3 linked regions of the Lonchura striata genome follow. The protein of the gene in region 3 binds, or shares a complex with, the protein of the main gene of each other region. Links are inferred from orthologs where the notes say so. Each region holds a gene or a part of one and is shown on either strand. Other genes may lie near its edges. The genes, in order: LRRTM2, CASK and NRXN1.

Region 1 (9,675 bases), on a different chromosome or scaffold from region 3:
AGCTTCCCAGCCAGAGGAAGCCTCAGCTGGGGGGGCACCAGGGGGACAAAGAGAGGCTTCTTCCTTCCTTCCTTTCTTCCTTCCCTCTTCTCCTTAACCTTGCTGTTGATATTTGCTTTTAATTAAGAGAACCTTGCATTAAGGGTATTTACACATGAAAAGGTGCTGAAATGCTGTTTGTTCATCATCATTAAGTAATTAGCCTGAATTCATGAAAAGCATCATCAAGTGAAACCAGGGAGTCGAGGACTGAATGTACTTAATATTTTCAATCGATCTCAGCGTGCTGAGCCTCTCTAAAGAAGCTGCAGTGCCAATCTGGGTTCACAGAAAGGGCTGTCCTGCTCCTGGGGGGGGGGGGGGGGAGGGTGTGGGTGTGTGTGCCCATCCTGTTCCTGTGTGTGTGCCCATCCTGCCTGGAGCTCTGTGTGTGTGTGTGCCCATCCTGCCTGGAGCTCTGTGTGTGTGTGTCCCCATCCTGCCTGGAGCTCTGTGTGTGTGTGTCCCCATCCTGCTTGGGGCTGTGTTTGTACCCATCCTGCTCTTGTGTGTGTGTGTGTGTGCCCATCCTGTTCCTGGAGGTGTACCCATCCTGCTTGGGACTGTGTGTCTGCCTGTCCTGCCTGGAACTCTGTGTGTGTGCATGCTTGTGTATGCACCCATCCTGCCGGGGCTGTGTGCCCATCCTACCTAGGGCTGTGTGTGTGCCCATCCTGCCTAGGGCTGTGTGGCCCTGTGTTTGTGCACATCCTGTCTGGGGCTGTGTGTCCCTGTGTGTGCTGTGTGAACTGCTCCTTTCTGTGCCTGCCATCCCTTTTAGCAAGCTGAGCCATGAACATGCACAGAGCAAAACCGTATTTCAGATAAATTCACCCCAATGCACTGAAATTCCCACCTGGACCTTTGTTCCTCTTTATTTTTTTTTTCCCTTTTGTTTTCCCTACCTTCCCTTACTGGAGTGAAATGCTCAGAGGAGGAAAATCTTCCTCCCGGGCTGCTCTTAAAGTGCCCGGAGCCAGCTGCAGTGTTTGGGATCCTCCAGCTGCAGTGGAACAAATGGAGCGCACGTCCCCCACAGATCCCTGCACAGATATCCAGTCTCCTTCCCATAAAACTGATTGCAGTAGAAAAAGTAGAATATGGAGACTCAGGTATAAATGTTTACACACAGTCATATAATTACATAACATTAAACATTTTACATTGTTTGAGGTGAGCATCTCTTTAGACTTTTAAACATTAGGAGTGCAAGTTGAATGTAATCATTGCTTCTTTAACACTGAAAATATTATGGATTTATTTTTTAAAAAACTTAAAAATACTGCACCACTCCATAAACAATGTTTCCATTAAGTAGCTTGGAAAATTAGGCTTTATGTCAACATTTGTAAAAATTAGAATCTGATGTAGGTCCCTACAATTTTCAAGTAGGTTACTTATCTGATTTACTTTGTGATGGGCTGTAGGTATTATACTTCACATTCTTTATAGGGCAGCTGCTGGCACTTGCACTGTCCGTAGCCATTGATGATGATGAAGGGTCCTTCATGGGTGGGTTCGTACTCGTTATAGGGTCCTTGGTCTGACATATTGGCCATATGCAGCCGCGTTTGGGATCGGAGCTGCCTGTGGTTTTGAATCATTGAGCACTGCCTAATTCTTCTTAGTGTGGGAGGGCAGCACTTCCTGGAGATGAACACTATAAAAATGATAAAAAAGAAAGAAAACAATAAAGCCATTGTTCCTGTAATTACCCTCTGAGTGAAGATGGCATTGTTTGGCTCGGGGAACTGTTCTTCGGTGGTAACGACCATGCCTGCTGTAGTTGGAATCTCTTTGTCTCCCACATGGAAATGAGAAGAGCTTATTCTTTTCGTGTACTCGGTAGTTGGAGCTGTGTACGACGTCGTAGCCACGGGGGTAACCACAGTCGATAAATTCCAGCAAAGCTGAAAACCATACACTGCATCCAGAATATCCTCTCCCTGGGTGTGGTCGGGGCTGTGGCAGAGGATGGAGTGCTCCCACCGACCTTGGAAGCCACTCAACCATGTGGCCAAGGAGCAGATCTTTGGGCTGCATTCCCACAGATTGCCAGAGAGGCCCACGGTGGTGAGGGACGTCAGCGAGCTCAGGATCTTGGAATCCAGAGTGGTGAGCTTGTTGTTATCCATGAGGAGGGTTTTAAGGTTAGGCATAGTTTCAAAGACGGTGAGGTCGATGGCTTTGATTTCGTTTCCAGTCAAATCGAGCTTTGCTAAGGTGCCCCAGGTCCACTCCATCCCACATGTCAAGTTGCTAATTTTGTTCCACTGCAAGAAGAGTGTGTGCAGGCTGCTCAGCCGGAGGAAGTGAGCAAAATTAATCTTTGTCAGCTGGTTGTGCTCTAGGTGCAGCTCCCTCAGCTTGATTAATCCCGCAAATCCATTGCGAGCCAAACTTCTTAAGCGGTTTGTGCTCAAATCCAGGAATTCCAGGCTACGACAGTCCCAGAACAGGCGGACCGGGATGGTCCGCAGGGAGTTGGATCGCAAGTGCAAGGTCTGTAGCTTGCGAAGGCCGTAGAAGAGCTCGGGGTGCAGAGAGGATAACTGATTAAAAGAGAGGTCCAAATTCTGCAGGTTAAGCAGCTGGCTAAAAGTTGTGTTTGGCAAATGAAAGATTTTGTTGGAACTTAAGACTAATTCCTTAAGTTTATACAGTCCTTGAAAAGAATCTTCTCTGACTGTTGCAATTTGATTATGATCTAAGTGAAGCCAAGTAAGTTGACTGAAGCTTGCAAATTGATCCCTTTCAAGTTCAGAAATATAATTGTGCCTCAGTGACAAACCTAGCGAGCCCTTTTCAGTGGTGTTTGGCACTGAGTGAAACCCCTGAGAGTCACAGTAAAAGAGCAGCTTCTCACAGCGACATTTTGGTGGACAAGCCATGCCCAAGGCAGGCAGCATTTTTAAAACCATACTCATTGCATATAGTGCTGCCAGCATACGAGCCCCTAATGGCCACTTGAAATGTAAGCCTGCAGAATATAATTTAGGAAAACAACAAGATAGGATAGCCTTATCAGTACACTTGGAATATCACAGTGGAAGATTTCACTGCAGATAACATTGCCATGCATTTCCAACAAGCTAATTCTAAATGCAAGAAACAACTTACTACAACAAACCGAATACTTGGACATTATTACACTTAGGAGGAGGCTTTATCTCGATTACGGAGGGCACTATCGGAAAACATTTTTTTCATAAGGTTCAGTGCTGAGGAATCAGCTTTAGCATCTTAACTGCTCCTTTAAAGCAGAGCTGTCATTCATTATACAAGGAACAGAGAAACGCAAGAACTTACCCATTCTTTTGAGTACATTGGAGGGTGCATTCAGTCGTAGTTTGAGACTCAACGCCGTGAGTCTGTGAAAGGCTCTAATGTAAGATAGCCTTGAATAATTGACTGGGTTTAGTGTCCTTTGATATTAGTGCAAAATCCACGATGCTCTCTTGGAATATTCCTTTTGAAATTGCTGCCTTGATCTCCTCTGACAGGTCTGCAATTTTTAAATCTTAATACAAGTTTTCGTCCTCTGTGGCTGCTCAGCTGGTTAATTGAAGCTCACGTTTTCCTTTTCCGCAGCTGTGGGTTCCTTTAGTCCTAACTTGTTGATGGCAGATGGGTGGCTTATTGCTGAGAGAAGCTCCTGTAGTAGCATGAGTGCATTTACTGAAAAGCTTTTCAGGGAAGCGGTACAAGAATGGATTTGCTTATGCGCTGCGACCACACAGGGCTCTATATAGGCTGACGTCACCTGGTGACGTTCCTTTTGTTTGGGTTTTCCAGAAGCTTTGCTGTTTTAAAGCATTGTGCTGCACGCTGTGATCGTGTTAGAGACCACTGATAGAGGGGGAAAATCCAGCGGCAGGAGTCCTTCGTCCCCAGGACAGACGGCGCAGGAGGGACTCGCAGCACCCTGCTCCCCCCACATCTGCGCCGGCTCTGCTCAGCTGGGGTTAAAAGCAGCGCAGAGCCGCGGATGGAAGTGCCCGAGTGCTGTCTGCTCCCACTTTTCTGCTAAATCTCCCTGCATGAAAGAACTTTGAGCTGCAAAATGCGCAGAGTTTGAATAGAGGATGCTGGTCAGCACTGGCTTTCATGGAGGTGAGAGAGACTGGGCAGCTCAGAGCTCCGTGTGACAGCTGTGTGTGACTGTGGTTCCTGCAGAAGTGCAGAGAGCAGTGGTGGAGCTGGAGTGTCAGGAAGTACAGCCCAGGAGCAGGGCACAGGAGCAAGTGCTTCAAGCCAGGAGAAATTTCTGGAAAAAGCAAAGGTTGCGTTAAGGCACAGGAAAAATTTAATTGGAATCCAGCTTGACAGTGTGTGGTTATGAAACTAGAAAATCTATTTTCTCCTCCCAAACGGTGGGTTTTATACTTGCTTTTTCCTGGGCGCTGGAGTGCAGGGCAGAAATGATGAGATTGGTATTTCCAGTCAGGGCTCAGAGCTGTGCGAGGGCTTCCTTGTGGTCACCCACAATGTCCTGCTGCTGTGTGTCCCCCTTAGAGGGGGGGACAGCACCTCCAGGAGCCCCTGGCTGCAGGATGGGTCTGTAACAGTTACCCTGGGGGTTTAGGGCTGCAGATGTGCCCCTGCAGAGTGTGTGTGCTCTCCAGCCCCACTGGGCTCTGGCCAGAGCGTGCACACACAGCCAGGAGGACAGGGGGCTCTTAGGGCTGTTTCCTTGCTTTAAAGGTTCATTGCCCCATTTTTCAGAGCAACTTCTCCTCTGGGACAACTGGTACTGAAAGGTAAATGACCAGGTTCAATTGACATTTTTATATGTTTTTAAGATGCACGTGCAGGTAAAGCCTTTGGAGCCACTGCTCTGGTCATAGTTCGATGTGGGTGCAGCAGGGGGGTGCTGGTTTCCTGTTCCAGGCAACTTGGATAAGCTTTTTTTTAATTTTCTCCGTGAGATATAAAGCAATAATGTAGAGGAGGCATTTGAAAATGTTTGTTGTGTAGCAGTGAGGTATCACCTCTAACCTCCAAGGTCTGGAATGAACTGAGAATAACAAATTTCCCATGATGATGGAGTAAGATGAATTGTGTCAAAAGAAGGGTTTAAAATAAAATGGCTGTTTACCTTTGTTACTAAGTGTTGGTTCCTTGCTTTGGTTCCTTGGAGATCCTTGCTTAAACCAAGACCTGCTGTTCTCTGCCTGCTTCTCCTTTGGCTGTCCTGTGGTGGAATGGTGACACTGCCTGTGCTGCTTCCTTACTGGGATGGGCAGACTCAAGGGGATTACTGAGTGGAAAGTGAAGGGATGGAGAACATGAACGCACAAGAATAAAATTTCAAAAACCTCAAAAAACACTAAAGCAAAACAAATAAACCCTACTCTGAACCCATCAGGAAAGTAACTGTCTTTATTAAGCAAATTAGGAAATGTTAGATAAATTTCTTAAATTGCTCTGCCATAGTAAATGTTTTCACATTTGCTTCAGTGTGAAAGAAATCCATGCAAAGAAATTACGTAAACCTATTTAAAGAGATTCTTCTTGTCTGTGTTCAGGGTACAAAGAGCTCAGGCTCAGCTCCAGTTGTCCAACAGAACCGTGGCTCTGCAGCACCTGTGGAGGCTTCTTGGATCAGCTCTGTGCAACACCCTGATCCAGGGTGTTGATTTGAATTCTAATAACATTTCAATATATTACATAACATTTACCAACAGCATTCCAAAGGGTATAGTTTAAGGACAACTGTTTAAGGTCAACTGTTAGCCCTCCCCAGTGCTGCCTCTTTCCCTCTTACCAGGAGGCTGACATTAGGTATCGTTGGAAACATTTTGCTTTTTTGCATCAATATCTGCTGGTAGGTTCCTCCCACATTAAGATTGTGTAATTTGGCACAGAGTTAAGAGTTAATGTTCAAATACGGTGAGTTGCTCCTTTTCTGAAGCTCTCCGTTCTTTGGCCCTTAACCAAACAAGGGCTATTTAGCACCTTGCCAGCGAGTTTCCTGTTTAGGAAACTGTTAACACAAACTTTATGGGCGCTTTTCTTAGCAAAACATGTTTTTATGTGCACTTGCTGTGAAATAACAGTTATTACCACAGGTGTGCATCTCAGTCTCCAAAGTCTGGAACACTGCAGTAACATTCACATTGTTCCTTAGGAGCTACCTGGGGTGTCAGGGTGCAACAGACTGGGAATAAAACCCCCAAAACTCATGCAAATGCATTTCTTCTGAGCCTGAATACTCATTGCCCAGCATGAAAAACCATATCTGATGCTACCCGCGCGCTTCGGCCACAGCAGGAACTTTATGGCAGCCTGAACCCTCATATGCAATGTGGACAGGGAATTGGCAGGAATAAGCTTACTGGGACCAGATAACCCTTTTGAGGGCTTCTCACCTACCCCGCTCATGGAGCAGCAGCACAACTGGTTTTCCTGCTAAACCCATGTGCTGGGAAAGTAGAATTGCACCCTGAGGCGAGCGTTGTCATTTAGTTAGGCTGACATCTTGTGGAAGCCTTCCTAGTCTATTAAGAACAACATACAAGCTAATTTTTCTGGATGGAGATGTGGGGCCTGCGTGACTTTGCTGTGCTGGGAGCCTGGAGGGTGCAAGCCCGGGAGCTGCACTGAGACTGCAGCAGGCAGGACAGGCAGCCACGTGTGTGGCACTGCACAGCAGCCAGCTCACCTTTCTGCCTGCAGGAGTGGCCGTGGGAATTGTTGCTGGGTGTTAGCACCCTGGGGACCATGGGAGGATTTGCAGCTTTTTGGCCAGGAGGTTGTGTTTGTGCTGTGTCACAGAGCTGTGAGGCAGGAGGTGAGCAGGGCCGTGTGGCTGTGTCACCATGCACCTTCTGTCACTTGGATTCGCTGCCCTAGGAGGGGATACCTGGGACAAAGGCATGTTGGAGGTGACCCAGCAGCAGAGTTGTGCCCAGGGCTTCAGGCCAGCTGCAGAGTTCTTTGGGGCAGGGCAGTGGGAGGGATGGGCACTGAGGGTTGGGTGTCCTTGTCTTCATGGGACCAAAGGGCACATGTGGTGGCATAGCATGGTGGCTGTCACCTCCCTGTCTGGCAGCTCTCTGCACCTGGCACTGCTCGTAATTCCTCCTTGAGGCAGGGTGAGTACAGGAGCCACCCTTCCCTGGCCATGGGGAGTGATGTCAGGGTGGCAGTGCTGTGGCATGGCCCGCTGGGCAGGGGGGCAGTGCAGCAGCTTTATTGTGACTCAGGTTCTTGCTGAAGCCTGGATGATGCCATGCAGCCCATTTGCTCTGCTGAGCTGTGGGCTGGCTGTAGAGAGCTCCTCCTGCAGCAAACCAGGGCACAGTCCTGCTTCCTCCTAGCACACCTTGGATGTGAAAACACTGCTGGAATTCGTGTGGGTCACGCCTCAGTGCTCACACTGCCTGGCCTTGAATCAGCCCTGTTCTAGCTGGAGTTGGTTGGCAGCCGTGCTGTCACAGTGATGGAGGGCGGTGCATGGTTATCCTCTGTAGACACAGAATTAGGCTGGGTGGCAAGGAAAACCAAGCATGGGACAAAATGCACCCGAGCCCTGATGTCCTGTGTCCCCTGGCAGCAGAGCTCGGAGGTGGCACAGTGACACACTGTGACTCACAGTGACACACTGCCTGCACACAGGAAGGTGTGCCGAGCACTCACTTGTAACTTATTCAGTCCCAGTCATTAATCAGTATGCTGCCTGTTGTACTGACAGCCCAGAAGTCAATTCCCAGACACCTGAAGCAGAAACCTCTCTGCCAACCGTCCTTTTTGGTGGTTGTGTGAGGGGTGGCAGGTGGGACAGTGGTGGTTCTCAGCAGTGGCACATCTGGTTTACATCTGGGTGCTGATTTGGGGAGGGGGCATGGTGGGCTCTGCAGGGATGGTGTGAATTGGTGCTGAGCAGGAGGCAGTCTCCCTCAATACCTCTGTGGGCTCAGCTTAACCCAAACTGATGATAAACCTTTAAGATTAACAGCAGATGTTTGTGATATTTAGCTACAAGAACATATATTTGAGTAGCTGGTTACAGCACATGCTCTGTTGATCCTGGTGGAATGCACCACCACCACCATGCTCCTGTACCTCTATAAATCAGCTGGGATTGGATTTTAACCTCCATAGCTATAGGAAAAGCTTGGGTTTGTCTTTTGCTTGTCTGAATTCAGATGGCACACCTACAGCAGGAAGGCTTTAAGACAGAAATGGTGATTCTGCTCCCCTCCCTGTGTACAAATCCCCTTTCTTTGCTTTGAGCATTAAGAGTCCCCTCTGGGGATGATGGTGTGAGCTGGGACTGCAGGGATGTGACAGGGAATGCTTGTGGTGCTCTGCAAGCAGGGTAGCAATGGTGGGGGAAGAGCAGAGATGAAGGGATTGGGAGAAATGAGTGATTTTTAACATCAATTCTATCCTCTTTGATAAAGATCAGATTTAATTTAAAGTAAATTTGCACCGTGGCTAAATTTATTATCCATGATACTGGTAGAGTTGGGATATCGTACTGCAGAATGATTGAATGGTCATCATGACCCTATTAAATCTACTGAATCTATTAGCTACTCACTGGCTGCAGGGTTTGTGATTCCCTCAGCAGAGTTTTGTGCTGAATATCTAAAAATCCTATTAGAAATCTGAATATTTGGGCTTCACTCTTGTGAGTCCTCCTAATCCCATGAATAGCAGGAGCTGCTGGCTGGGCTGCCTTGTGCTGCTGGGTCATTAGCTAGCTCCTCAGTGAAGGTTCACACTAGACATGAGGACCAGTTTTTAATGGTCAGGCTAATTGATTAGTGGAACAAATTACCCAGAAGAGCTAAACTGGCACTTGGAGCCTTTAAAACATGATTTATTGCTTGAGAGAGGGAGCCCAGCTCAAACAGGACTTTTGAACTGTAGGGTGGAACCAATGGGTAAAATTCCCAACATGTGTGGCAGCCTGGACAAAGTGACAGTACCTCAGCATATTTCTGTGCCCAGGAGGGTTTGTGCTGCCATGGGCTGTGCAGGTTTTCATGTGTTCCACCAGGTCCTAATGGGGTTTGGTTGGCCCCACAGTGTTTATGTAGCAGGGAAATACAGTGTTTATTATGCAGGGGAAAAAATGGTCAGGAAACTTCAGCTGGGCAAAATTCAACATTGTTGTCTCCAGGACCTTGGTTGGAGTTGGCTGTGATGGTTTAAAATGTCAGTGGAAGCAGGGTGTGTGTATCCACTGAGGTGTCCTGGGTCTGTTCTGCTCTGCCCCTGCTCAGCTCTAACAAAGGATCCCAATTAGTGACTCAATGTGCTAAATCACCAGAGCTAAATTAGCAGGGTACTTTATCCTGCAGCCTTCTGAAGTTAATTCTGGCCATGCTTTTGATAAGCTTCTGTGCTAAAACTTCTGCGTGCCAGCAAGGTGGAAATAAACTGAAGCTGCCTTCCTAAAATCTAGTGGGGCTGGATTCTACAGCTCTTTCTGTGCTAGGACATGGTGTAGTTTCATAGGAACAGATCAGCGGTGAGAAATCAGTGCTGCTCGAGCTATAATGTGCTTTTTTGGGGTGTTTTGCATAGTGGTCCATTAGTGAAGGCCATCTCTTGGCTTTCCTCTCATCCAAAAGGCATGTGGTGCTGTGCACCGAGGCTGTTGTGGGCTGTGAAGCCAGGGAC
Region 2 (9,577 bases), on a different chromosome or scaffold from region 3:
GGGTCATCTGGTCCCACCTCCCTGCTCAAGCAGAGTCAACCCACAGCACATGGCCCAGGACTGTGTCCAGATGTGTCTGGAGTATCTCCAGTGAGGGAGACTCCATGCCTTCTCTGGACAATCAGTTCAGTGCTCAGTCACTGCACAGGAGAGAAATTCTTCCTCACGTTCAGGTGGAACTTTGTGCATCAATCTGCCTGTTGCCTCTTGTCCCACCACCCCACGGAGCAGAGGCTGGTCCATCCCCTGACCCTCCCTGCAGACACTGGCAGACAGGGATGAGTCCCCTCTCTGCCCTCTCTTCTCGAGGCTGGACAGGCCCAGCTCCCTCAGCCTTTCCTCACTGGGATGCTCCAGTCCCTCCATCATCTTTGTCACCCTCCACTGGATCTGCTCCAGCTCCGAGTCTGTCCTGTCCTGAGGAGCCCAGAGCTGGGCACAGCACTCCAGGTGATCCTCAGGGCTCAGCAGAGGGGCAGGATCCCCTCCCTTCACCTGCCAGCTATGTTCTTCCCAATGCACCCCAGGATTAATGACTTCAATTGTGACCAAAGCCCTTTTAAACACAAATAAATGCCTATCATCTTTATCCCATTGTATTTACAACTTAAACATTTGGAGAAATTTTAAGCAAGTCCTACTGTTAGAAAGGTCAGACAATCTTTATGGTTCTCCTCTAATGCTAATATAAACTGATATGGATCTTAAGAGGTACAGAAACGTAAAACCAGGTAATTTAAAATAAAGTCCTTGCAGAACAAGGCTCTATCATAAAACCCTTGCCTCACTCTTCTAGATTCAACACCTACTGAAGACAGGCATTCTCTCTCTGGCATAAAGAAAACTCCTGCTACATGTATGTGGAGCTCCTAGAACAGTCTGCACCTCGGATGAGTAGCCAAGATGTTTCAATTTTACACCTACTATGTTTTATAAACTACTCAAAGCATTTTGAATGAAAATTCTAATAAAAAATAAACAAGTACACTTAGCAATACTATCTGTGAGCTGTCAATCAAACACATGGTCTGATCCACATAGGAACAGCCTTAAAGATTTTAGACTGTGTACTTCTCAACCAATACACAGAGAGAATCTCTTCAAACTCACCTGGAAACAAGTTAGAAAAAAAATGGCACACTTGTATTTTTCATCACTATCACTTATCCTGAGATATGTCAACACATTTTTGAAGGCTAATAAAGAAATCCCCAACTTACTTCTTGTTGAAGAATGTTTGTGCCAGTTGAAGAGAGTAACCTCAAACATAACACGTTTGGTTAAGTAAAAATACATGACTAATGTTAGTGCCATAAATGCCACTTTAAAAAGTTCAATGAGAAATTGAGATTGTTATTCCAATTTGTATCTTCATATAGCTTTCAGCAATGGAAAGGTATACTGGAAATACATGCAAAATAAGATTTCCCCTAACATTTTTTTCTAATGAAAACATGAACTAGAATTTCTCTCTATCCTTCCTGGCCTTTCTTTCCACCCACACCCCTTAAAAATGAAAAATGCATGCTTGCAGAACTTAAACACACTAAATGTCACATAATAAACAGTTTATCATTGCCATTCCCATCACTTCATTCATATACTACTACCCTGTAATTGTTCCTCACCAAAAGCTATTATTGCTGCATTTACTCAAAGTCAGTCTTATCAGTTTATTGTATTTAGAAGTGTTTAAAGCTTATCCTAAAGATCAGAATATGCCTCAACAAATTGGACTGTCTACTGTCAGCCAGGAAAGTATCTCCTGATTTCTCTAGCAAATTGTATGGCAACTTTGACTAAACACTCAAGACGTTTTACAGGCAATGACCTCTTTCCCACACCCTTTATGAAAATACCTTTTACTACCTTAAGTGACAGTGGTAACTATCTATTCAGGAAAGATAAATTACACATTTTAGTATTTCATGTGTCCAAAATGCAAATCAGAGCCAGATGTGCTAGCTGCAAGAAGTAAATCACTGTACCAATCAATAACAAATCCCAGGGACATGCAGACATTTAGTGTATATTTCACTGAAAGATGTTTGGTCAGATGCATATGTAGCCATTCATAGCAGATTTACAGCAGCTTTCCTGAAGTTTCTTATGGACAAGCAAGGTGGTACCCAGAATCTATAAGCTAAATAAAGATGCTGCACCTCTGGTCCCTTGGAATTTACCTGTATAGCATTGCAAAGAAATAGCAATACCACTCATAAATTGTACATGACAGTTGTGTGTTTATATTTTAAATATTTGGGTTTTTTTAGAGGACAGACTTGACATCTGTTCAGAAAAACCTGAGTAATCACTACCAGCTATCAGCCCTTCACACCACCACTGTTGCTATTTTCAGTGATACACCCTGTTTTTGCTACAGTGTTCTTGGCATCATCGTGCTGCTGTGATTCAATATTTATCTGTTAGATCTAGTTACATCACAACACCCTCTACACTACCCAAATCTCGTGTGGAACTTCTGCAGCTAACACCTAATCCACCGGTTTTCAGCTCTCCCTTCGAAATTCTCCAGCCGCGGAACAAAAAGTCGGTGGAGATGTGCAAACATCTGGCCCCCTGCGAATCGATCATCCATCCTCTGAAAGGGTTTGCGGTCATGCATAAGCACTGCACCTTCCTCCTGATGGCAATCGGGCAGGAACAAAACCGAGTGTGAACTGCAGTGGTTAGCATAAAACCACTTGTGAAAGGAGTGTGCCAAAAATTGTATTCAAAACACTTCAATTACAAGAGTTTTGCTCCTCAACAGCATCAAGTCAAAGCAATCATATTCCATTTATGATGGCAAACAAGGCCCTTGGAGCTTAATATTTTTAAAAGTTGTGTTAGGAGCAAGGTGGTAGTGTCTTGTGAAACAACAGAACCGAGTGCTGAAACTTCTGCTGACAACAAAGCCACCTGCTATGTCCAAGACCAACATTTCAGCATAATCCCGAGAAAAGATTAATTCTAAAATATTTTTAGCCCTGGCTTTGGAAGCAGACAGCACTCCATGTACACTGAAAAGCATCAGGGTGGAGAGCGGGCAAGAGAATACATGCAGGAAACATTCTTTGTTTATAACCAAAACACGGTCAATTATTCTCATAAAATCCATTGTCACGAAGAAAAAACTCCAAGCACACTGAACAGTATCACTATTAAGGTTTGCAGAGCAATCTCAGCTTTGGAATCAGACACACAGAAAATTAGGTAGTCACAGTATTACTGTATATTTGCTGTCCGTTTTGCAACACAGACACAACTAGAGAAAATAAATGAAAGATGATGAAGAAATAAAGAATGCATTTCAAAACTGAGCAGTGACAGAAATACGGGGGCAGGGGAGAATGGAGTTCAGCTTTAATTCTTTATCGCCATCTGATTTGGGGGAGTCTCTGCATTTTCTTGGTGACTCGAATTGTCATTTTCATCCAACAGTGGTAACCCGAAACAGCAGCTGGGTAACGCCAGCCAGAGCCTCAACTCCCAGGTTTCGTACAAGCCTCGAGCATCGGTTTAACAGCAGTTGCATAATAAGACTCAAAAGGCCAAGCACTCCTCCTGCCTTGTACATCTCCATTTCCACAAAAACCAGAGTGATGGATCTGGACGAGAACCGAGCACTACCCGAGCGCCACTACCAAGCTGGTTATTATGCAGCAAAGAAGAGGAAAACCCAACACCTGGCGCACAAATATGAAGACACCCAGTGAATAGGTGGATCTACGGAGAGCTATCTTCCCCTTCCCTTCCCCAAGAGGCAATCCTTGATGGGTGTGCCAGGAATGGGATATCGGGGGGGAGGAGAAGAAAAGGGGTGGGAAGTGGTTGCCGCTTGCTGCAGCCAGGCTGAGCGATGGCGAGGTGGTTAATCATGGTGGCTGAGGAAACATGGGGTCACTTCTCCCCCTTCCGCCTCCCGTGTGACGAGGACGGTGGGCACCGGCCACGGGGTGGGGGACCCGGACCCCGCACGGACCCGCCGGCGGCGACTCAGGTGGGTCCCGGGCGGAGCATCCCGGTGCCCGGTGCGGGCGGGGGGCGCGGGGCAGCGCTCCCCCGCCCAGCCCTGCCCTGCCCTGCCCGCTCCCCGCCGCACTCACTTGCCGATCACCTCGCAGAGCTCGTACACGTCCTCGAACAGCACGTCGTCGTCGGCCATGGTCCGGGCGGGGGGGCTCAGCCCGAGAGGCGGCGGCCCCGGGGACGCCCGGCTCCCCCGCCGCTCAGCGCCCACCGCCACCACGGTAAATCCCGGCCGCTCCCAGCGCCGCCCGCCCGCCCGGGGCTCCCGCGGCCGCGCCGGGACTCCCCGCTCCTGCCGCTCCTCCTCCGCCTCCTGCCGCGGCCGCCGCCGCTCCCCGCGCGTGTCGCACCCCCCGCGCCCCCGCCTCCCACCCCCCTCCCGCCCCCTCCCTCCCGCGCTCAGCCGCGGCTCCCGCGGGCGGCTCCGGCTCAGCGGGGCGGCGCGGGAGCCATGGAGGGGATCGGGGCGGGCGGCAGCGCCGGGTCACTCCCTCGCCGGGCGGGAGCGGGGCGCGCGTTCCCGGGCGGGCGGGCGGGAGCGCCGGGAGGGAGGATAATAGTGGGAGGGGGAAGGGCGGGAGGAGCCCCGGCGCGGGCGCTGGTTCCGCTCCCGGGCGCGAGGAGGAGGCGGCGGCGAGGCGGCGGTCGCGACAGGCGCTCGCGATAGGCGCTCGCGGCACCGAAGGGCGGGCGGGCGCGCGCGCGCGCGCGTGCTCCCGGCGCCGCCGTCACGCAAGCCCCGTCACGGGGGCGGGCGCCGCCGGGGGGCGCGCGCGCGCACGCGCGCGGGGCGCGGGGTGGGGGGGCGGCGAGCCACGCCCCCAACCGCCCGCTCGAGGGGTCCGGGGAGGCGCGAGGGGAGGGGGCTCGCGCAGGCGCGGTGACGTCATGGCGCGGGGAGGGGGAGGTGGGTGTGACGTCACGGCGCGGGCGCGGGTGCCGCTCGCGCTTATCGCCCGTGCGGCCCTGACCGCCTTTATCGCCTTTATCGCCATTATCGCCTTTATCGCCTTTATCGCCTTTATCGCCTTTATCGCCATTATCGCCCCCGTCACCCCCAGCGACCCCGCGGCCGGCACGGGGACGGTCGCGCCGCGCGCTCGCAGGAAACCGGGCAGTGGCGGTGAAGAAGCCGTGTGCGAGCCGGGCTCGCACGGCTCTGTCCCGTGCTTTATTTTCCCTTCTGTGTGTTCCAGCGGGATGCAAGTGTTTTCTGCGGCACGAACCGGACCGCCTGTGTTGTTGGGAGAGCCGCTCTTTATCCCTAAAACAGTGAATTCGCCCTGTGGCAGTGCGCCGTGAGCCGCTCCTCCAGCTGTGCGGGGCACCGCTGGCTCCAGCCGCGCGGAACAACGCGCGGGAGACATCGGGTGGATTTTAAATCACCCCATGCTCGCACCATTCATTGTTCCATGGTGTTTAACATGCTGCACGTGTGTGCTTTTCCAAGTTTTTTGAAAACTTGGATGTTTTGTTGAAGAAAGCAAAGCTCTCTTGAAGGGTTTAGTCGGGAACTCTTGCAGTTTACAGAAAGTATTTATTTCTCTCAAGGTACAGTAGTACACGTGCAACTTCCCAAAATTCATTAACAGAGGTAAATTATGGAATTGTTCCCCAGACTGAGGAAAAAAAAACTATCAGAGCAGAATTATCTGATGAAATGGTTTAAAGGTTGGCTTTAAAACGTAGAGCTGACAACACCTTACCTTGTTCCTGTCTCCAGAAAAAATTTAAAAGTAATAAAAAAATAAGAAAACCAGTGAAAATAATTACATCTATTTAATTACATCTAACTAATTATATCTAATAATTACATCACTGCACAGTGCTATCTTAAGGGTGAGAGACATTCCTGTGGGTCTGTGCTCCATCCCATACAAACCTTTGAAAAATATTTAAACCACCATCTGCTCTTTGGACTGCAAACAAAAAGCTGATATATTTAAACCGTTCTCTAAATTTCACACAGCTAAACGTGGGCACCCATTTTTTCCTTTTGCAGGCCCACAAGGCTGAGTCCCACACAGGTCACTCAGAAAGAATTTTTAGAATATGGGTGAGTGTTCACTTAGACTTTGAGCTGGAGTTGTCTGTGAAGCCGTCATGAGAAGTTAACATAAAAAAAACAATTCAAAAGTGCACAAGAAAGAAAATTGCTGGTGGTGGATCTCTTCCTGAGCTGGGGCAAATGCTTTGGCTGCTCCAGCAGCATCACCTGAGGTGTTGCCTCCCTCTGGATGCTGAGTGCTTGGTGTCACACCAGGCCATATTGCCCAGGTGAGACAGTTTAAACTGAATAAAAGTTTACCAGGCATAATATATGGGGGCCTTTGTGCCAAAATATTGTCATAGAGCAAACCTTCATTGGACATTTGTGTTGGTTTTGGGAATAGGCAGCACATAAATGTGGCTTTCTGCTAAAGTACAAGGTCCTGGGGCACAGGCTGGGGGTTTGTTGTGATCCTGGGAAGGAAGTTGGAAGACACAGAACAAAAATGAGCTTTTGCTGAAGAGAGGTGATCCATTCCCTGGCATCCAGGGAATGCCAGTAGGCATCTGGCTGACTTGAGGGGTCCTAGAGCAGCCTTAGCATTCACTAGGCTCAAAAGAAGCAAGGTGGATCTATCAAACCTGTCCTCACTCAGTACAGGGGAAGAGTGAACATGGGTGCTGCCTCCCGTTTGAGTTGCATGAGGAGAATCTGTCTGAACCAGGATTTTGGTGTAGATCTGGATCATAAAAAGTTGCACAGTGAGCCAGTAAATGCAGCAGAGATGCCACTGCATCAGCAGTTACTGGAACAATTGAGAATTGTGCTGTTACTCTGTTTCAGATTGAATGGGCTCAGGAAAATATGAGCGTTGGTCTGCCAGAAGGACCCAGTAGCATGATAATCCAAGCAGAGCATTTGCAGGTGTGTTTGTGATCAGAAATTCCAGCCACACGTTCAAAAGTAGTCATTCCCTTTCGTAAGCAAGCATTTTTGATTTTCACCCATTTATCCAGTGTGGATCCTTACAGATTGTGGGATTAAATTAATAATTCTGAAATACATACATCTAACATCTCATCAAAAAGTGTGTAACCATAATGTTTGGCATACGAGCAGAAGTGACTTTGCACTTGAGACCTGAAATTATTTACTGGCGAGGTAATGGTCTGAAAGCAGATCAGTTGGTTCAGAGCTGGGAGAGGGACTTTTTGATCAGGCAAGAGTAAGAGAACACTGAGTGTTCACATGAGGAAATGCCCTACAGCCCCTGGTAGCCTTTCCCAAAGCACTGCACGTGTTTCAGCTACCTGTCTGCCAGATTCTGGACAGGCTGGTTAAGATTGTGTATGTTTAGGTTAACCAGTTTTGCATTCAAAAAATGCTAAGGAGTAGCTGAGTGTGGGCTCGGGCACTAGAAAACTTATTTCTTAAAATTTTGTGGGGTTTTCAAATTTTATTCACCTGGGGTTTTCGCATACAGTCCGCACAGCATGAGCCACAGGACAGGTAAGTTGTTCAAAAATTGGTTTTGGAGCAGTAGTTATCAGTTATCCAAAGAGCCTTTGTGTTTTCATTTAAAATTTGATGTAAAAAGTACACGATGAAGAAGAACAAGAAATTTCAGTGGTTTGACAGCGTTCTGTTATCCCACAGATGTAGAAAGCACCAAATCCTGTTCCTCAGATTCCAATTGTAACAGGGTCTTGGGTACTTGATCTGTAACCCAGATATTAATTCCCTCCCTCTTAAAAAGTTTGAGAATGACACTGAAGATGAGTATGAGCTGTTAGTATTTTGTAAAAGAGAATATTGCAGGCCTACCGGGTTTCTGACAAACTGCCATATTGTTTAGGTGGGTCAGTTCTGTGAGCTGAAAATTGTTCATACTTTGGGCAGTAGAAAACATGTTTTGGTTGAAATGAAAAGTGTTTTGATCACAGGCACATTTTCAGGGATATTTTACAGGGACATTTGCAGTCCCTGTAAAAACTGTTAGTGAAAAGAGCCTTCAAAAGCCATCAGCTGACCTGGAGTAGGTCTGAATGATTTCTTGCAAAAGTCTGTAATTAAATCAGCTCAGAATCTGCCATGTGGCAGGGTAGGCTGCAGCTGCAGAGCTCAGGTGTAGCACACAAGTTATGCCACACTGTAATTAAGGAGGCAGGGTTTCCCACGAATGCTTGTCTTAACAGGTGAGTGATGTTTGTCTGGCAAGATAAATCTCCAGCTGCATTTTTTCCCCCCCAGTGGAGTTGGTTTTAAGTTCCTTCACAGTGTCAGTTCTCCATTGCTTGGTGAGAAGGAGACTCTCACTGTCACTTTTCTTCACTGAAGCCACCACCAGGTCTCTTTTCTGCAGCCACTTCTCTTCAAAAAGCAGTTGGAGCTTATCTCAGGGATCTGTACCTTGCCCCTGATTAATTCTGTTGAAATTGACCGCCAGGTTCAAAAGTTCCTGGAAAAGTTATGTGTAGTGTGAACATGGCAAAACCTCTTTTCCCTGGCCAGCAGGCTGAGAGGTGTCTCTTTGGAATAAGAAATTTGCTTTCACTGCCTTTGAGACATGGTGACCACATCCCCTTCCTCTGACATGGCTCACACTGACCCAGGGCCAGTAACCAGACATGTTTTTTCTAGGGAAAAAGTCACTTTCCTCATTTGGAATTAGATTGCACTCATAATTAAACAGAAATTATGGTAACACTACTGGAGATGGGCATTGAACTAGACCAAAGCTGACCCAATATGACACTTTCAGAAGTATCACAAGTCACCTTTCAAAATCAACTTCCAAAGGTGAAAAAGTCCCAGGTAAGAATAGCTGACAACATCAAAAGAGAGAGGAATACTTTAAAATTACACAAACCCTTATTTAATGGAGTTTCTTTAGTTATTCCTTGCCATTCTGCTGATTTTCCCCTTCCTTGTGTACCATGTAGCTGTGTCTTGATTTCATTACTGGAGGTGTTTATTTATTTCTCCCCAGCTGCAGCTTTTCCTCATTGATGAGTATGGATTAAATTATAATAAATGCAGAGGAAATCTCTCCAGGATGCTTTTATTGAATTTTTCTTAAATTAAAAATGTCTTACAGGGGTTAAAACCAGGTAATAAAACCAACTAAAAATTCCAGTTATCGTTTCATCATTTGCAACCATATGCTACATTCATGCACCTACATAGAGAAAAATAATTAAAAATCACATTATAAAGACAATATCAAAATGCAAAGTACTAGCACCAAAAAAAAAAAAAAAAAAGAAAACTAATTACCCTTTTATTTTCCTTTCATGTCTTTATTTCCTTTTTTCTTGCATTTATCACTCTCGTGTCTTTTGTACAAGATTATTAAGTGCTTTTGACTAGACAGGTGCCAACCTAATAGAAACTCCAGAAGGGCCCCACAAAGCTGAGCGAATGCCCAGAGGAGCTTTGGTGTAGATAAATGGCAGGGAATACTTCATTGAGAGGAAATCCTGAGCTACACCCTCCCTGCTGGATGCTGAACTTGGAACTGGTGGTTGCAACTCTGGAAAGATCCCTCAGACTCAG
Region 3 (10,008 bases):
AAGATCCAGGGGGGTGATTTTCCTCTATTGTTTTTGTTTCTAATCTGCAAGGAATTGAAACAGAATAATAAGAAATGACAACTAATAACATGTTGAATCACAAAGTTGATCAATAGCGAACATTTATGATTATTTTTTCTTTTTGACTGGTGTTGGACATTAGGAAAATGCTGCTGTAATTTTCAGGTCACTGAGAAATTGTGATAGGTTGCAGCGCTAAAGACAAATCTCAACACATATGTTTATACTAGATTACATTTTTATGGTATAATCTAAATGTAAACTACTTACCTTTCCAAAACTTTCAAATATTTCTGTAGTGCATTTTATTATTACAAGAACAAAGTCAAACAGAAAAGATAGTGGCTATTCTGCAATTTATTTAATTTTAATTTATTTGTGCAAATGCCATCACCTGTGAAGCTACAAGGTACTAGTCATACGGACAATGGTACCAAGCCTAGTTCTGGTTGTTTCTAATACAGGTCAAAAAAATAAAGTGGCCTGAGCTCCCAGCAGGAACTGACAAGCTCCACCACGCATGGCACACCTACTGGTTTATTTTTCCTGGGGTGAGGAAGAATTGCAATAATTTCTTAGATGGCTTTTTGCATTTTTTTAATGTTTTTTAAAACATTTTTTTTCTCTGCTACCTGGTTTCTTCTGGGGCTGGTATTTTCTGCTATGGCACGGAAAATCCAATTCAAGCCAGCTCTGATGTTGACATTATTCACAACGCAGATCAGCTAATCCCAGGTGTTAGTCCTCTGAAACTGGTTGCAGTATTTTATGTCTATTTACTCAGCTGCCCTTATTTAAGAGAACAAGGAGAGAATAACTCCTCTGTTTTCAAAATTATATATATGCCACAGTTCACCCTTATCCTCTGAAGAGGTCTCTACATCCAAAACGTTTCAGCGGACAGGCTGCTTTTCTCCCCCAGGGCTGCTGTATCGTTTCTGGAAGCTGTGTATTAGCAGACCTCTCCTGATGGAGGAGAGGATCTCCAACACCTCCCTCACACATCGCTTCCCCTTCCCCTCCCTTACGTTTCTTTGCCAGCAGCACTTCGGCAGGCACAATAGCACGGCCAGAGCTGCTGCCAAGCCCTTTTCTGGGCTGGGATGTGTGTGCGTGTGTGTGTGTATATGCGTGTGTGGGGAGAGGGGGCAGAGATGACCCTGCCAGGGAGAAACGTTTTAAAAACAGGCACACACCTCAGCTGCCTGCACCTGACACGTTCAGAGCTGCTAAGTCACCTCCTACTCTCTCTATATTTAATTTCATTCCTCTAAATGTCAACACGATTATTTTTATTATTTGCCACGCGTGAGGTGGGCAAGAGCAGCAAAAGGGAGAAGAGGAGAACACCCCCCCCAAACTTCGCGGGCAGAGGCCAGGCGTGCCCACCAGCAGCAGGCAGACCCCAGGCTTCCCCCACGCCCTCCCTGCCCCTCGGCAGGAGCCACATCTGACAACGCCGCTACCAGCCGAGGGATTTTCCGGCAGCTCCCGAGAGGAGCGGCGGCGGGAGCCCCCGCAACCCCGCTCCCCAAAGGGCCCTCCCGGGCGCGGCGGTGGCCGCGGGCTGGGGCGCCGCTGGCTTGCGGCACGGCGCCGAGCGGCAGCTCCTGCTTCAGCACCCGGAACAGCTCCGCCCTGCGCGGCCCGACGGGGCGGCGGCGCCCGCCGAGCCCCAGCGGCCCCGCCGCTGCCCCCGCGCTCCGCCGGGGCTGCGCTCCAGGGGCAGCCCGGGGGGCGCGCCCGGGGCGGGGAGGGGGCGTGCGGGAGGCCGCGGGGCCCCGCTGCGGCGGAGGGGAGGGAGGCGGTGATGGGGCGGGTTTGGGGGGTGTGGGGGTGCGGGGAGCCGGGTGCTGGCTGGCGGTGTGAGAGACGGCGTGCGGGCCCGGGGACAAAGACAGGAGGGAGGGGGCTATGTGTGAGGAGTGCCTGAGGTGATGAGTGGGGAAAGGAGAGGTTTGTGGAGACGGGTGAGTGGGGAAGAGGCGCGGGGTGTGTGTGTGTGTGCCTATGTGTATGTGTGTTCACGGGGGTCACCGGGCAGCTGCTGGGGCTGGGCTGGCCCCCGGGGGAAGGGGCGGTGGGGAGGGAACGCGGGAGGCGCGGCGGGGAGGGGGGCGCAAGGTGAGCGGGGCGGGCGCGGCGGCTGCAGGAGGAGCGGGGCGGAGGAAGAGAAGGGGTTTGCGCCTCTGTGCGCGGGGCGCAGGAGCGGGAGGTTGCCAAGAGCCCGTGGTGGCTGTCAGGGGTGGGGAGGAGGGTAGGGGGAGCCAGGCAAGGACGCGGTGTGAGTGTGAGTGTGTGTGAGTGTGTGCGCGGCCGCCGTGCGTGCCAGAGCGATCCCTACAGGTGTCCGCGGACAAGCCGCCGCGCGGGGATCCCACCTCGCGAGCATCCCTGCCCGCTGCCTGCCGCTGGCTGCAGCGCCTGCCTGCCCCCTCACTCACACACACACAGAGCAGCAGCAGCGGCGGCAAGAGCGGGGAAGGGAAAGAAAAAAAGACAAAAAAAAAAAAAAAAAAAAAAAAAAACGAGGGAAAGGAAAAAAAAAAAAAAAAAAAAGACGAGGTGGAATGACTGTAAAAGAAAGGAGAAAGATCCAAGGGGAAAATAGCCCAGCAAATAATTGCTTATTTATTACTGCCCATATAATTCACACATTGCCAATAAACAGCACAGTCAAGTCTAGTCATTTCTAAAGCAGAGGGACACTGTCATTCTCGGAAGAGGACAATTTATTAAAATATACCTATCTATGTATCTATCTATCTCAAATGGCTCTTAAGCACCAGGCGTCCCTCCCAGCGATGTATCCATGAACACACACATATGTAGCGAGAAATATGCACAAACCAATATAAATGTAGCTATTGCATTCAGAGCCTCGCCAGTGAATTCGTATGCTTCCCCCACCCCTTTACAACCATTTTATTTTCTTCCAAAATTATGATTTAGTCACAGGTGCCCCGATTGAGCCTTTTCAAATTAGAAAAAGAGAGAGAGAGAGACACCCATAGGTCAATAAATCCTTAATAAATGCCAGGTCGGTTGGCATGCACAATCCTTGGCAGAATCCTTATTGTATGAAATACAGAGCATTGTCTCTGGGTGCGGGGAAGACCAGAGTTCACAAATTACCGGATGAAATAAAAGGATCTGAAAAACAACCTTGCTGCAGCCAAAGGGAGAAGCGCTCTAATTCAAAAGCAGACTTAGCAGCATCATTAATCTTTTCCTTTCATTTCTACGTAATTTCTAGAATCAAAATCTTTCCAAAGCGGCTGGAATGATCGATTTTGCTCTCCTTCCAGTCTGCAGATGTATTTATTTTAATATGCTTATGATATAATTTCTACCCCTGCAAAAATGCACACCATCAGCAGGAACCTGAACAGTTTCAAACACGTATCGAAGAAGCCGAGTGCCCTCTTTCTTCTGTCACACAATAGAAAATGTCCCAAATTATCAATGCACTTCCCGCACAAGCCCCTCGTCTCTTTCAGACCGCCGCCGATAAATAACAACAATATTGCGATATCCCATCGCTGCCCCGGCTTCGCGTTTCACCACGGCAGCTCACGCCAGGGAGAACATGCAGCAGATTGATTTTATCGCTCAAGTCTCGCAGACCCCCTCTCCCCTCCTCCCCTCGCCTCGGCAAGGGGCAATAAATCACCGCATCCAACCTTTAACTTACACCTCCGCTCCACCATCTCCTCTCCTCGCCATCCACCTCTCCACAACGCCGCACGCAAACCCACCAGCCTCTCGCGCCGCCACCGCCACCGCCGCCACCAGCGGCTCCGCCGCGGCGGAGCGGGGCTGGTCCTCCGCGGCGCCGCTCCGCCCGCGCTGCGGGCGCGCCTTACCTGCGCGGGGGCCGCGGGGCCGGGGCCGGGCCGGGGAGGGCGCGGCTGCCGGGGCTGCCTCTGCCGCCCGCCGACCAAGCGGAGCGGAGCGGAGCGGGCGCTGCTGCGGGTGCGCGGCGGCGGCGGCGGCGGCGGCGGCGGCGGGCGGGGGCGGCCGCCGGGAGCGGGGGGCGGCACCGCCGCGTGACGCCGCCGCGCCCGTCTGCCCGCCGGGGGCGGCGCCGTGCGCGCTGCGGACCCCGCCCCGGCCCGACACAGCCCGCCCGGACCGGCACCGGCACCGGCACCGGCACCGCCGCGGCACGGATGGAGGGACCGCGCGGGGGAGGCTGCGCCGGGCGGCACCGCCGAGAAGCGAGGTCGGGGCGGGGGGCGAGCACGCTGCTGCCGGCTGGGGAGAGTCGGAGGGGTCGTATGGGCAGAGGGAGAGGTGCTGCAACGCTGGTGCAACACGGCGAGGGACCAGAGGGAGCTGCCGGCTTCCCGGGCAAAGCTCTTCTTTCTTTGGGGCTTCTTTTGTTGGTGGTTTCTTTCAGTTTGGCGAGGGTTGGTTGGTTGGTTGGGTTTCTTTTGTTGTTGTTTTGGTGGTACCACTACTACTACTACTAATTATCATTATAATAATCTTTATTATCATTATCGTTCTGTCATCTTTTTTCATGTCCCGGAACTGAGGTTTGCCGAATTCTGCTCAGCTTCTGGGAAAACTCAGGTATAATCTCATCAGCAGAGCGCCGCCAAGGACCACGTCTGCCACAACCACAGGAGAAATGCTTGGGAAAGCCATTTTCCAACATAAAAGTTACCTGCCTCTGTGTTGTCTCCAAATGGTGGTGAACTGTTAGAGAAATTCCAGGCGCTTCTCAAGATCATTGGGTTTAGTGGCATGGGAAGTGTTTGATCGTGCCAAACCTTATCTCTATCTCTTGGCCTTCTAACTTAGTACCTGTGGCCTACAGAAAGGTGAAGAATGGATTGTAAGGGATTTGCATGAATCCTTAGCGAGGGTCCTGACAACTTTGGAACACACGGAGTGATGTTTGTCACACCGAGGGTCAGAAGAGCACTCCTCTATGGGGCATGACACAATTTTTTTGAGAATGGTCTGTGCAATTAGATTTTTACATATCTGGGGTGTGAACATAGCAACTTAGTTTTGAAATGAAACTTCAGAGATAAGCATAAATAAAAGGCCTTTCTTCCATTTCAGTCCCAGTGGAGTTAGCTTTATGGTTTATTTTTTTCTTGATGAAATGGGTTTCCTCACAGACGACAAGTTTGATGAAGTAACCAAGCAACATGTTAAGTAATGAGAAGAAAAGCTTCCTAGATATGCAATGTATCTTAAGTGCTTACAGCATAATCAAACATTCCTTTTGTTCAGCCAACTGATATCCACATCCAGTTAATTTCAAACAGAGTGAGGATTTCTCTTGATAATTCTAGTAACTTGACCCCTTCAAGCAGAGCAAGGAGCAAATAATTCTTCTGCTATGAAAAGCAGATAAATTGTAGGGTGAAACATGATAAGTGATACACATTTTTAAAGAAGCAAAGTTGTAACTTGATATTATTTTTTCGTCTGTCTATATATGTATACATATATATGTATATATAATAATATATATAATGTGTACACATTATATATTTATAATATTTTTTAACTGTAGCTTTATTTTATTAGGCTCACAGTGAGCACAAGGGAGAACTTCTTATGCTGTTAGATGGGGAATGTCAAAGTCCAAGGCCAATGCACCTTGAATGTGCTGGCACAGGTGGAGGATTCTGGCACAGGTGGAGGATTCTTCCACCTTCTCCCTTAAAGTGAAGGACATCTCAGTTATTCCAGCAATAGCCAGAGTATGCTCATGTTTCTCCAGAAGGAAGCCTGCCACAGTAAGAGGAAGGCTGGCAGGAGCCTACACAGAAATAAAACAACAAGATGTTAAGTGAGCCAGGAAGATACAGGAAGATTTAAGGGAAATACAATTTCCTTAATTTAATGGTGCTTTTTTGTTGAGAAAAATATATTACTTTTGTCATTCTCAGCAATTGTTGCAGCATATGGTGTCATAGTTGATTCATTTTGAGGCAGCACAAAAAAAAAAAAAAAAGAAAAAGAAAAACAAGAAAGAGGGAGAAAAAAAAAACGAAATATGATTTCCATACCATCTCTGTAGGTTTTTCAGCTTGACAAATATATGATATATCTTGTAAGAAACACATGGCCTTACAGAAACCTGACTGTCTTCTGCATAAATTAACATTCTGTTTTATACCAAAATATTTATAGATTTGGAAAAGTAAAAGATAAAAACAGCAAGGATCTTCTTGAAAACAAACCAATTATTTTCTGTCAGGGAGAACGCAGTACATTATCCAACTTGCAAGTCCGAGACCTTTTGGAGGGATGTGTATTGTCAGAACAAAGTGCCTTTGAAGTACATATGTGAAATTGTCCAACGGTTGTAATTTTAAATAAGAGATCTTTTGGCAAGCTGCAGTGAGTGCTGGAGCTGTCTCTGAGGCACGCACATGCAATTGCCATGGCTGTCAGAGCTAATAAGAAAGGAAGGAACCAGTCAAGGCACTGCAGAAGAAATAAGAATGATTCTGCTGAGAAATAAAACACAAAATAACCAACAACAACAACAAAATCCCGCAAAACCCACAATTAAAATCAAACTAAAAGTTCTTCCAGAGAACACTGGCTATCTAGGCAGGCATGAGAAGGATATGAAAAGGGAGAAAGTTATTTCTGAGACTGAAGATAACAGGAAGAGAATAAACCTGTTTCTTTACTGAAGTGGTCGTGGGTAGTGCTTGGGATTGGAGTGGCTGGATTTTGGGGACACATGAAAGCTCTGTTCTGGTTATAATAATGCAACATATGCCTGACATATTTCCCTGCTTTGAAACTATCATCAGTAATCCTTCTATACCAAATCAAATCTTTGAGAAGAGCTTCAGACCCACCAGAAATTTGACCCTTTGCATGTGTGAATAGAAGTGTTTTTTTGGAAGAGAGTCAGTACAATTTTTTTTAACAATTCAATAATGTTTTTTGAACTTGGTCTGGAATGAGGAACAAATGGGACAAGGTAGACGTGCAGCAGAACTGAGGGAGCTGTATGCAATTGTCTGTATCTGCATACAGGCAGTGAGGTTTAAAGAGATGTGGAGAAAAAAGATGTAATTTCTGCCTGTTAACTGCCATATTACTCAGATGTGGATGAATCAAGTATGGGCAAATCTAAAATGAGAAATTAGAAGATACCTGCCTTGGAAAAAGCCAGTGTGTTACATAGGTCATTGATTGCTCAGTTCAAAGTAATTAAAGAAAATTTTGAAGCTTTAGAAACTTGAAGTAAAAGAGAGAATCAAGTCCATGTAGTTCAACAAAATTAATTACAGCAAATAATGAAATAAAGTACTGAAGGTATTTGACTGAGACATGTTTGAAATCAGAAAATGGAACAGAGAGGCAACTCTCTGGATTTGATAGTTTCTCTAGATAATGAGTTTTTGGAGATAGCTTATAACTAACTTTGGAGGATTAAGGTGTTAAAAACTTGCTTAATACTAATTCTGAATGGATAAATAATAAAGTACAGGAGCACACCTATGATGATTTAAAATATTTATTGACCTTATACTCAGTACTGGAATTTAATCATATTTCCCAGTCTTCTGCTATTGCAGAAGGTATCAGGTGTATTTAGTGATGTAATGTTCTAGTCATGAAGAGAAGATTGGAAACTTATGCAGTTTTAGGTGGCTTTGTGGGTCCAAAAGTAGTTTATCCAAGGAAAGCAAACATGGTAGGAAAATGCATAAACATATCTGAGGATCAGAACATATTTGTGGAGTCTTAGTCAATAAAAAATCTCAACCAACCACAATTTCAAGGCTTACACATTTCTCCCTGGAAAGAACTGCTTTCTTGTATTTGCTGTAATAGTGACAACTTAACATGAAACATGTTCAAGAAAATTAATAGTAATCTCAATCTGATCCCCAAGATGAAAACTTTGAGATGATTCAGAGATTAATTTGGATGCCTTTTATTCCCTTTCATTGGCTTTGGAGTTTCATTGCATGAAATTGCTTGCAACACTGGAAAAACAGACCACTTTAATAGTTCAAAGCATAAAAAAGGTATTTAAGTGTATATGAAACATGTATGAGACTTTGAATTAAATTTCTATTACTGATTCAGAATTGCATATCCAACACATGGATTTAGGTTTGTTTCTTTTTTTTTTCCATTAAAGGAAAAACTTGATTTGTGTGACGATATATTCCTATAACATAATGACCATAATTTATAGTGTGAAGAATACAGAAGCTACCAAGACCTCAAATATCCCTAAAGTGCATATAAAAAGACATCATTCATGACAAAACCCTATAGTTTGCTGGCTCTGACTCTCAGAGCTGCAGGTGCAGTGCACTTTCACACACAAGGCTTGGCTGATGTGCACAGCAGTACACATTGCCAAGAGAAATCTGTAATGAAATACCCCATGTTAGGTTTTCTGAGCTGTACAAAATCTCATCTATCAGCCAGCCCTCTTGGTGAATCCTCAGTAGCCTTCAGAGGGGCTGTGGTATGACACACGTAGCAATAGTTGTCTCACTGAAGCTCCATGAAGAAAGTCAAAGTGATGCAAAATGTTCTTCTCAATAAATATTTTGGATTTGGCAAATGGTATTGATTAGCTGTACAAAGCATGATGAAACAGAGAATGGAGAAATCCACTGGCTTCCAAAGCACATTTGATTTCATATTAACTCTTAACAAGAAGGTGATTGCAGGATTTTCTTTATATAAGACTTTGTAAGGATTTGTACATCACTACTGTGATTTTAAAAAATGTAAATTTCATAATAATAACTTTATTAATTTCAAATAAGCCCTCATGTTCATGTCTCAAAAAAGTGGTCATTTTCTCTGAATCTCTATGCAGTAATGTGGCATAACATATACAAATATTAATGCAAGCAGTAGATACATCTCAAAGACATCCTTATAGATTTGTATTTAAGAACAATGCACGTAAACACTGCAAATAATGCCTTTGACTGCAAAAATATAAGAAAATAATTAATTTAGAATACATAGGTCTTCTTTAGGTCAACTGCTTGCCTTTTAATGCTTTGCAGCAGTTTTTAAGCAGGAAAGTTTTGAAGCAGGAAAGTACAGACAATCTTAGATAAGAAGAATTGAAGAGAGCAGCAAACTCTTGCGTGTTGTCATTGAACAAACAACACTCACCAAAGGAACTTGGAAGCTCATTTCATCCCAGAACTGTTTGTGAAATCACTTCCTTGAATGAAATGTGTAAGAAATCCCACCATAGGCAGACGTGGGATGAATATTTTGTAGCACTCCCCAAGAGAGTTTATTTTAAACCCTAAAATATTTTGCTTCATATTTCTTTCAAAGTTCTTAACATTTAACAGACTTTTCTAAATGTTACTTATAAAATTTCCCATAATTCCTTTTAAAAATCCCACTAAATTCGTACTCCCAAGTAATTTGCATAATTTATATGGAATTTATGTGAATGCCATTTGTGTATAATTTGTATAAATTTCCATGAAAGCCATTCATCATCGTCACCACATTCCTCATTCTCTTTGCTGGGTTCACAGAGCTGCCTGGATACATTAGTGAGTTCATGACCCCCAGGTTTTAGGCAAGCTTCTGGGTGGTCTCTGTAGTGTGGGCTCTGAGTAAAAAACAAACTCCTTTGCAAAGCTCCCAAAAGTTGAAAAACAATGAATAGCAAGACTGGCAGAACAACGTGATATTCTAGTATCATTTATCAGCATGCCTGAATCATAGCTGTAGTATGCAAATGAGCAGAAGCAATCAAAGAAATTTCATTTTGCCACAGCTGCAGGGTTGGGTTTTAGCAGGGAACTTCCCTCAAAGGTGCTGAATCCCCTCAGCTCCAACTCTCTGCTAATGTGGGTGGAGGCTACTGGTAGAAATTTGTCCCATTTTGAATCAAGATCTTTGAGAACTTCCAGAAATCTCTGATTACAATAATTTGTTTTACAATGTGTTACTCTACACTTATGAAAAATGAGTATACTTGCTATAATTCAAGTA

What was found.
Region 1: the proteins of NRXN1 (region 3) and LRRTM2 are in contact, whole or in part, in a crystal structure (PDB 5Z8Y), measured with the Homo sapiens proteins. The link is inferred for Lonchura striata from reciprocal best matches to the Homo sapiens genes NRXN1 and LRRTM2. Residues at the interface, in NP_001317021.1 of Homo sapiens: Leu139, Val158, Thr160, Arg236, Gln237, Leu238, Thr239, Ile240, Asn242; in NP_056379.1 of Homo sapiens: Asp343, His344, Gln346, Gly347, Glu348, Leu351, Asp352, Ala353, Gly356, Phe357.
Region 2: the proteins of NRXN1 (region 3) and CASK are in contact, whole or in part, in a crystal structure (PDB 6NID), measured with the Homo sapiens proteins. The link is inferred for Lonchura striata from reciprocal best matches to the Homo sapiens genes NRXN1 and CASK. Residues at the interface, in NP_001317021.1 of Homo sapiens: Lys468, Glu469, Tyr470, Tyr471, Val472; in NP_001354650.1 of Homo sapiens: Pro500, Met501, Gly502, Ile503, Thr504, Leu505, Lys506, Ala516, Arg517, Val549, Gln553, Leu556.

What each region holds. Positions count from the first base shown.
Region 1 is NC_134617.1:16,784,769-16,794,443, reverse strand, and holds the start of LRRTM2 (leucine-rich repeat transmembrane neuronal protein 2), read right to left. Parts: upstream 3,778-9,675; 5' UTR 3,379-3,777; coding exon of another isoform or gene 3,353-3,378; coding exon 3,349-3,352; intron 3,020-3,348; coding exon 1,470-3,019; 3' UTR 1-1,469. UniProt on the Homo sapiens protein: Involved in the development and maintenance of excitatory synapses in the vertebrate nervous system. Regulates surface expression of AMPA receptors and instructs the development of functional glutamate release sites.
Region 2 is NC_134604.1:110,080,887-110,090,463, forward strand, and holds the start of CASK (peripheral plasma membrane protein CASK), read right to left. Parts: upstream 4,269-9,577; 5' UTR 4,169-4,268; coding exon 4,110-4,168; intron 4,004-4,109; coding exon of another isoform or gene 3,863-4,003; exon of another isoform or gene 3,846-3,862; intron 1-3,845. Other genes in the region: uncharacterized protein LOC110474871, read left to right, coding at 3,863-4,003. UniProt on the Homo sapiens protein: Multidomain scaffolding Mg(2+)-independent protein kinase that catalyzes the phosphotransfer from ATP to proteins such as NRXN1, and plays a role in synaptic transmembrane protein anchoring and ion channel trafficking.
Region 3 is NC_134605.1:21,541,076-21,551,083, forward strand, and holds the start of NRXN1 (neurexin-1), read right to left. Parts: upstream 3,907-10,008; 5' UTR 3,888-3,906; intron 3,843-3,887; exon of another isoform or gene 3,716-3,842; intron 45-3,715; 5' UTR 1-44.